Linked DNA regions of Oryzias latipes. The protein of the gene in region 1 interacts with the protein of each later gene in a biochemical or structural test. Links are inferred from orthologs where the notes say so. Each region holds a gene or a part of one and is shown on either strand. Other genes may lie near its edges.

The links.
Region 2: the proteins of tert (region 1) and tpp1 form a complex in vitro, tested with the Homo sapiens proteins (2 studies listed by BioGRID and IntAct). The link is inferred for Oryzias latipes from reciprocal best matches to the Homo sapiens genes TERT and TPP1.

Annotation. Positions count from the first base shown.
Region 1 is NC_019869.2:25,702,049-25,706,356, forward strand, and holds the start of tert (telomerase reverse transcriptase), read right to left. Parts: upstream 2,969-4,308; 5' UTR 2,727-2,968; coding exon 2,511-2,726; intron 2,212-2,510; coding exon 951-2,211; intron 876-950; coding exon 683-875; intron 607-682; coding exon 453-606; intron 383-452; coding exon 215-382; intron 132-214; coding exon 1-131. UniProt on the Homo sapiens protein: Telomerase is a ribonucleoprotein enzyme essential for the replication of chromosome termini in most eukaryotes. Active in progenitor and cancer cells. Inactive, or very low activity, in normal somatic cells.
Region 2 is NC_019880.2:11,941,867-11,946,292, reverse strand, and holds the start of tpp1 (tripeptidyl-peptidase 1), read left to right. Parts: upstream 1-1,563; 5' UTR 1,564-1,650; coding exon 1,651-1,661; intron 1,662-2,023; coding exon 2,024-2,098; intron 2,099-2,473; coding exon 2,474-2,613; intron 2,614-2,686; coding exon 2,687-2,837; intron 2,838-3,160; coding exon 3,161-3,282; intron 3,283-3,516; coding exon 3,517-3,686; intron 3,687-3,764; coding exon 3,765-3,963; intron 3,964-4,426. Other genes in the region: mis18bp1 (mis18-binding protein 1), read left to right, coding at 1-11. UniProt on the Homo sapiens protein: Lysosomal serine protease with tripeptidyl-peptidase I activity. May act as a non-specific lysosomal peptidase which generates tripeptides from the breakdown products produced by lysosomal proteinases. Requires substrates with an unsubstituted N-terminus.

The DNA.
Region 1 (4,308 bases):
TGGGAATCAGCCCAGATCTTAGCGTAGTGGCGGACGGTGAAGACTTCCTCTTGGACGGGTGACAAAGCCTCGGTGATCACCTCCTTGAGTTTGTCGTGCGGCAGACTGTCGTAGGCGCCGCTCACATCCACCTTCAGCCCAACCCACAGGTGAGCCCGTCAGAGACGGGTGGAGAAAGGAAAACATCGGATGTTCCTGGAAGGACAAGGTTCACCTTTACAAAGTAGAGCGGCTGTGGTTTGTCCTTCTGGGCTGGTGCCAGAGAGCGCAGCACTTTGTGGATGTCCGTCATGCCCCAGACGGTGGAGCCCAGGAGCGCCGGAGCGGAGCGCACACGCGCCTGCAGCATGCTCATCAGGTCACGGATGCGCTTGTGGTGAAGCTGTGGAGAAGGTCACGTTTAGGAACCCGGCATGCTAAGAGAGGACAGAGGAGATCTCGTCTGTGTGCACCCGTGTGTTTGAGTCTGCCCCGATGACCCGTGTGATGGGCCTCATCCCGTCCGTCTTGGGAATGAAGCGGAGTTGGGAGATGACCGTGCCTTTGGGGAGGGACGCCACCTGAGCTGGGCTCAGCTCCTCCATCTCGCCTTTAGCGATGTGCCTTCTATCACATAAACACAGGTATGGTTCCAAAGGCTGATCCGAAGGCGAGGGGAGGTTTTGTGTTGGAGAGTCTGAACCTGAAAGCCAAATCCTGGAGTTTGCTCCAGACCTCCTGCCTGTAGAACCTGATGGCGTTCTTCTGTCCCACGCTTTCTGTGGCGTAGAAGCAGGCCCGGACCAGGCCCACGACAAAGCCATCCAGAAGCCAGGTCAGAAACTGACTCAGGATCCGCGTCCGGTAGGCCAGCTCACTGGGGGGGAAGCGGCCTGCTACAGGAGATTCAGAAGAATCTTTCATGAAAACAGCAGAGGAACCAAACAGAAGATCCTCTCCAATCCTCTCACCTGTCCTGCGGAGCTTCAACCAATCACAGTCCATCACCTTTATCTTCCACATGAGTTCCGCCACCGAGATTCTCTCAAACTTGCCGCTCTTCAGGAAGCCTCTGACTCTGCTGAAGAATTGGAGTCGGTTGTGGTCGGAGCCCCACAGCTCCTCAGGGACGACGGCGGTGAGGCATTCTCTGACAAACAGGTAGACCCGATGCGGCGCGCAGTGCTGAGGGATGAGCGAGCTCAGCTCCCCCTGAGCCGCACGGCTCAGCTCAACCACTGGACACATCCGGTGCAAAACGCTGCTGTAGCGACACTTTCTGTGCCTCTGCAGCAGCCGGCCAAACACCGGGACCATGTTAAAGTAGCGCAGGGGGAGTTTCTTCGGCTTCCTCTCCTGTCCGTTTAAATACGGCAGACCCTCAAAGAAGACCAGTCTCACCAAATCCTGCCCCTGTAAGCGCCTGGGTCCAGCAGCGGTTCTCCTCTTCCTGTTGAGACAGAAGCCGTGCATGCCACGGCCGCCGTAAAGGAACCCCAACGTGCGGATAAAACACTGGGAGGACGGCAAAGGCGGGAACGCCCCCGATCTCCAGCTGGGACCTCCCTCCAAAGGCGGAGGAGCTGCTGACGTTTCAGGAGGCGGCTTGACAGCAGCTGCATCGTTTTCTCCAGACTTTCCTGAAAGTGTTGACTCATCAAGAACGGCTTCATGCTGCCGTCTCTCTTCATGATGAACGCCGCGCCTCCTTTCTCTTGATTCCTCCTCCTCAGATTCTCTTTTTCTTTTCCTCGTGCTGACTTCACTTTCCACTCTCCTCCTCTTCCTGCTTTCCTCCACATCTCCAACGGAGCCTGTCTTTGTCAGGTTCGCTGAGCGTGTCTTCTTTCCGACCTGAAAACTTTTGTGTTTCCTCGACGGAGGCCGGAGAAGAAACCCGCTGGAGGCGGTGGTCATGGACACTCTGTCATACGCTGGAACGCCGCAGATCTGGAAGACGCAGGAAGGAGGTGCCAGCACGAAGACGGAGCAGCTCCCCAACAGGTAGCGGGTGACGTCTGTGCCGAGGCGCGCCGTGACCTTCTTCCACAGGTCGCTGCTGTGGATGTAGGCGGCGCTTTGAGACAGATCTCCCTGGAAGCGGAAGTGGTCTGCATCCCGGTCCTCCTGTGCCACACCCAGGAAGTTGTAGCCGTGGGCCAAAACATTTCTCCTCCTTTTCCTTTTCAGGCTGTTGAGGATAAAAGCCAGGAGCTCTGGAAACGTGCAGGTCTGAGGAGGTTAAAGAGAAAACATGAAGGAAAAAAAAGCGGGCACGTGTCCAGGAAATTTCCAGACGGAATTTAGTCACAAAGCTTTGTCAAAATTTAAGAGATTAGCCCAAATAAGAGAACAATTAGCACCATATTTCGGATCAATAAGAGTCATGGCACAGCCAGTTTTATTAGTGAGTATAAATACGTTATTACGGTTTGATGCTACGTAACACTTCAGATAAATTCAGAAATGTTCGTGAAACCAGCAGAGAAAAGAAATCAGATCTTCTCCAGAGATTATAACGGGATTATTACCTGATTACAGCTCGGGACGTCCTGCAGCTCCTCATCAGAACACACAAACACTCCCCGAACGAAAGACTTAAAGCTGTGTGTGTCCGAAGGTTGAAGCAGCGCAGCTCTCCGTCCCTCCCTGAACACAACGCCGTCAGCGAACTCCTCCAGCGTCCGCGTGCGTTTGTAGAGCGACCGGAGGATGTTCAGGACGCTCGACAAATCCCCGGATGTCATGACGTCTGAGTACTGTGGACGTTCTGAACGTCAACGTTACAAACGGACTTTTTTTTAGCAACTTCGGTGACTTCTACATTGCAGTATGGGTGATTCAAGGACCCGCGGTGTAATCATAGCCAATGATACATCACAAAAAGTGACCATATCCAATCAGACGTCGTTTTATTGAAGCAAACAAGTCCCCGGATAAAAGCAACCAATCACATAGCCTCTTACTAAAGTAGCTTTCCTTGTTGACCAATAGAAAACAAGAAAATGTATGTTGTCATTTCAGCATACATAGAACGAACATCAGTGCGTTTTACACTGCGAGGAGTGGATTTTCTTCTGTTGGTTTTCTGTTTAAAACAAACTAAATAGATAAAAAGATAAATAAATAAATAATCTACCAACACTCAGAAAACATTGTGATGTCATTTTAAATAGTTGTTTTTATTTTGATTTGTTTGCATGTTTATTTTTTGCTGCATGCCTGATGTTTTAAGTCCCTCAGCAAAATGTAGTAAACCTGCAGTTTATTTTACCAAGTACATGCTAAATATAGCAAGTACAGACCATCTATGTGTAGTGTGGGAATTATCCTAACTAAATACCAATAAATACTCAGATTAAACTGCAACATTTTAAATTTACAATAGATTGTTTGTTCACCATTCAGCATGTCCCTTCAGGGGTCGCCACAGAGAATTAGCTTTCACTGATTCACACAGGTGGTTTTGCAGAGATTTTTACGCAGAATGCCCTTCCTGACACAACCCTGTGTGTTATTGGGGCTGGGGACGAGCACAGTGGGAAATTTACATTATAAAGATAGCACATTAAAAGTAGACTTCAAGAATACGTCCTCACCTTTTGTATGGACTACCAGTAAGTATAGTATACTTACACAGAACACTTTTTGCTCAGAGGTAATTTAGTTGTTTTCTTACATAAGTTAAAGGTTTTCACAACTGTTATATTTTTAGCCAAGAAGAATTTAAGAACAGTAATTTTTTTGTTGTTGGCAAACTGTAAACACAACAAATGATGTTACTGAAGGTTCTCTTAAAGAAGTGTTCTTTCTTTTTTCAAATCAGTTCAATTCAAACAACTTTATTTGTCCCAGATGGGCAATTCCTTTTGAAGTTGCAGAAATAATTTTTTGGGGGGGAAAAATTACATCATGTAGATCCATTAAACAAAATTGACAACCCTAAAAAAACACACATTCTATGCAGTACTATAGTTCTTTGATATGGACAAATGTTGTTTTCCTCTTTTTTGTTCTGCATCTAGGATGGTGAAATCTGTGATTTTTATTCAGGGCATTCAAAATGTTACTTACATTTTCAGAATTTCCTTCTGCATGAATTATTGATTTAGTTTTCTGAATTGACTGACCAGAAGTTATTTATTTATGTTTCCAATTTGCCTGATTTTTTATGCTCTGAATAAATGAGAAATGTTAAAACTGGTACTTAGAACTTGATTACCTTTATTTCTCAGTTACTTTTTAGTTTTTTTCCTCAAGTCACTGTTCTTTACTTGAGTAATCATAAAGTTACATTGATTTTTTTGAGTACAATTTTAAAAAAAACTT
Region 2 (4,426 bases), on another chromosome or scaffold:
CAGATGACTGAGTTATTCAAAGTTGAAACTTTTTTTTTTCTTTTTTTTATGAATGCAACAAAAGCCAATAAAATACAGGAAATCTGTAATATTTTAACCTTGTGAGATGTTGGTATTTTTTGGGGTTTATGAGTCTAATGGATCTGCTAGAGATTTGGGGTTTTCAAAGCAACAAAATCCAACAATTTTATGTTGAAAAATGTAACAGATGTTAACTTCAGCAAGCAGTTAAAACCCTAGTTAGATCACATTTATGAATCATTGTGGAACTAGTTTTTAATAAAATAATAAACAAAGAAAATCCGTTGTAATCAAGTGGAGTGAGTGGGGGAAAAAAACAAATTTCCAAATGAAGCAAGATGTCACAACTTTTGCTTTTTGTTCATTTGAACTTCCACTGGAACTCGACACGAAACGGTAAAAACAGCTGCCTATACAAAAACGTGGGACAGAGTTTTATCGTGTACAAGTATTTTTTCCACTTGCTGCATGTCTATTGAGTTTTCTTGGGTGCACAGACCTCACAGCGCTTCTTTACGTTTCTGCTGACCACAACCTAAAATAGCAAAAAGATCAGACACGTTTGTAACATCTCTTTCTTGCAAAGTAAAAGTCAGACATTTATTGCAGCAGCACCACACGGTTACTTTAGGCCTGGCAGATGGTGGTTGGGCGGTCGGGTGGATGGGGCACCAACATTCTTCTCATTTGGACTGGTAAAGTATAAATAACTATAACTAGAAATTATAAGACGGATAATGATAAGTATGTAAAAAAAAACTCAAACAAAGCATAATAGGGGTGGGGGTATAAAAAAAATAGCCGAAACAGAACACTAATGGGGGGCCTTTCTGTGTGGAGTTTGCATGTTCTCACTGGGCATTTGTGGGTTTTTGTCCTGTTCCTCCCACTGTCCAAAAATATGTTTCATACGTTAATTGGTTACTCTAATTGTCTATGGGTGTGAGTGTGTATGGGTGTGTGATTTGTGGCCCTGTGACAGACTGGCGACTTGTCCAGGATGCTTTCCCTGGCCCCTGCAACCCGTGACCCCAAGAGGGACAAAGTGGGTTTAGAAGATGAATAAATGAATGAAGGAGCTTCCTTCTACTCTTTTTTAAACAATTAATCAAATTCTTATTGACAAACTGAACATGTAATGGATTGAATGTGTCATGCTGTGCGTGTAAGTGCAAATGTGCTTATATAAGGGCGTCATTTAGTCCTGTGTATATAAATGGATGTGTATCTTTTTATTACTTTTTTGTCCTATCAAATTCTGACTAATTGTCCTAAGTCTGATATGTCTGTGTATAGATGTATACTTTTGTGTTTGTCTTTTTAAGTATTTCCTTTTTTATTTTGATTCCTGAAAATAAACTTATTCCAAAAAGCTGCTGTTCTTGTCCTCTGAGGATTTGAGGTCTCACAGCGCCTTTCCCCTTTTTAATTAAATTATTTTTTTAAATAATCATTTATTTACTTTAGTAACCCAGAATTATTGTAAATGTAGACTATTTTAAAAATAACGCTATTTAAAAAAAAGGGGGAGGGGGTGCTTCGGAACGGGATCACGTGCAGAGAACGTCACGTGACTCCTTCGTCCGCAGCGTAAGCGACAGGAGCCGAGGAGCGACAGTCAAGGACGTGATGAAAACTCTGTGAGTCTTTCCTATAGTTTCATTAAAACGCGTATTATACATAAATATTAAGGTTCTGGTTAAATATGTAACAGTTGGATTTACCGCGCGGAACCTTGAGTGTTTTACTCATGGTGACCCACATTCAGCCACCGCTGACCTTAAAAGTCCAGCACAATCGAATCGTATCGTGAACAGCATAGATAAAAGCAATATTTATGTGTTCAGAAATAACCTTTTTGTCATGATCCACTTTTACTCAGAACGTTAAAATACACTTTTATATTGTGATTTGCTGTTCGGAGCTTCCGGGTTCACGTGGGCTGCAATTTTCTTCACACTAAAATAACTTGGTTTTTTTTTTGTTTTTTCTACTTCTGCAGACTTTTCTTCTCCATCCCATTTTTATTCAGCTCTTTGGTTTGGAGCGGATATCTGGAATATGACCAAGATGTCCTGTGAGCAACATTTAAAATGTTTTGTTGTTTAGATTTTTTTGTGGTTTTCAAGTTCTGTTGTGAACTTTTTTTTGTTTAGTTTGAGACCTCCAGATCAACTATGTTAGAATTAGCTTTATTTTGAAAGGGCAACTATCAATAATAGATATCAGACAAAAAAAAAAGTAAATAAATTAACAATCATCACTAATTTATACCCATATTTCATCCTGTTCAGATGTTTAGAGCTTCTCTTTATAGTTTTTTGTTTATTTAAAAAAGCTGGGTGCGAAATAAAAATAATTTAAAAAATAGCCATAGGATCACCTTCTGGCTGTTTTTCTAATTTTTATTTCTATCATCCTTTGATCATTTATAAATGCTTTAAATCTGCAGGATTCCAGAGGGCTGGACCCATGCGGGTCGAGTAGACCCGTCAGAGGAGCTGGAGCTGACCTTCGCTCTAAAGCAGCAGAACGTTCATCTGCTGGAGGAAACACTCAGACTGGTGTCAGACCCAGACTCAGCTCAGTACGGTAAGCAAGCTTTAGCCTGCACAAATCTCATTCGAACCTTCCAAATCATGGGTCACAACTTCCTGCTCCCCAGGTAAATATCTTAGCCTGGAGGAAGTAGCTTCGCTTGTGCGACCGTCTGAAGTGACCCAGAAGGTGGTGCGTCGCTGGCTGCAGAGTCATGGGATTTCAAACTGCCTCACTGTTCACACTCAGGACTTTATGCAATGCACCATGACTGCAGAGTAAGCTATTTTTGTTCTTTCTACACCGCTAAGCTGCAGTCATCACAGATATAGGCCTTCATCTCTGTGGAAATGTCACATAAAAACACTTCTCCCTTTTGTCTTGTGACACAGTTCCTCTTTTGGGGTTCATAAAAATCAATTTTTATTCTCAGTTCACGGAAAATCACAGATCAGATCTCGGTCAGAGTTGTTACCCGAAACACCTTTAAAATTGCACATCTTCGTTAAGTTATCAGTCATCATAACTGATATTTTTCTTGTAGAGGTTATTGTTTGTTGTCAACACTAAAGTGGCTTTTGTTGTTTTTTTTTCTCTAAAGGGTTGCTGAAAAGCTACTGCAAGGAAGCAGATTCCATCATTACATCAGAGACGGCCAGTCTTTGACGAGATCCTCAGCTCCGTACTCGGTTCATGATGACGTTCACCCACACCTTGATTTTGGTAATGACATTTCTCTCAACTACAAAATGTTTTGCCTTGAAACTATTTTGTTGGTTCAGTTTAACCCATAAGAACCCATGATGACATCAGTGCAACAGAAAAATATCAGAAATGGATTCTGTGGTCCACTTTGTTTGTGGTAAAATAGTCATAATTTTATTTGTACGAAATATAATGGCTCTGGGTTCTTATGGGTTAAGGTTCAGGGCTAATATTGGTTCTGAAACCCCGCAGTTGGAGGTCTTCACCGTTTCCCACCGAAAAGCCAGGAACCCAGAGAGAGACGCCAGCACTTCAAAGCGGGGCTGCATCTCGGAGTGACGCCTGCCATCCTGAGAGCTCGCTACAATCTAACGGCAGCCGATGTGGGATCAGCTCAAAACAACAGTCAGGCTGTCGCTCAAGTACGACTCTCAGATGAAGTTCTGATTGGTTAAAGCACTTTTACATTTTTCTAAACAGGTTTTCACTTCTCTTTTTAGTTCTTGGAGCAGTACTTCCACCCCGCAGACTTGGCGGAGTTCATGAACTTGTTTGGCCGGACGTTTCCGCATATGTCTCAGGTGGATCGAGTTGTTGGTACCCAAGGTGGAGGAAAGGCGGGTCTGGAGGCCAGTCTGGATGTAGAATACATCATGAGCACAGGAGCAAACATCTCTACTTGGGTCTTCACCAATCCAGGTCTTTAAACTTTGCTTTCGATCTCAGAACACGAGGAGGCGAACGTGTACATATCTCTGTTTTTGAATTGGAATGGATTAATCTATTAGTGGTTAAAAAGGAACCACAAAATGAAGCACAAAGATATCCTAACATGAAATATCCAACAAGATAGATGAAGCTAAAAACCTTGAAATTAAAAATCGATGTTCCTAGTGCAGGGTTCTACAGCCTTCAACACTTAAAGAGCCATTCGGGTCGATTACTTAATCACCACAACCAAGTAGGAGCCACAAAGTTTTACTTCACCCCTTTGAAAAATAAGACACTTATTCGTATTAATGCAATTGTTAGTATCAAATGGCAGCCAAAAACAGCCTACCCTACTTTTTTTTGCCTGTTTTCTCGTGATAACGACATCTGCTATTTTTTTATTATAAGAAAACAAAAGTCCAAGTTCCAAGCGATACGCAGTCCTTCCATA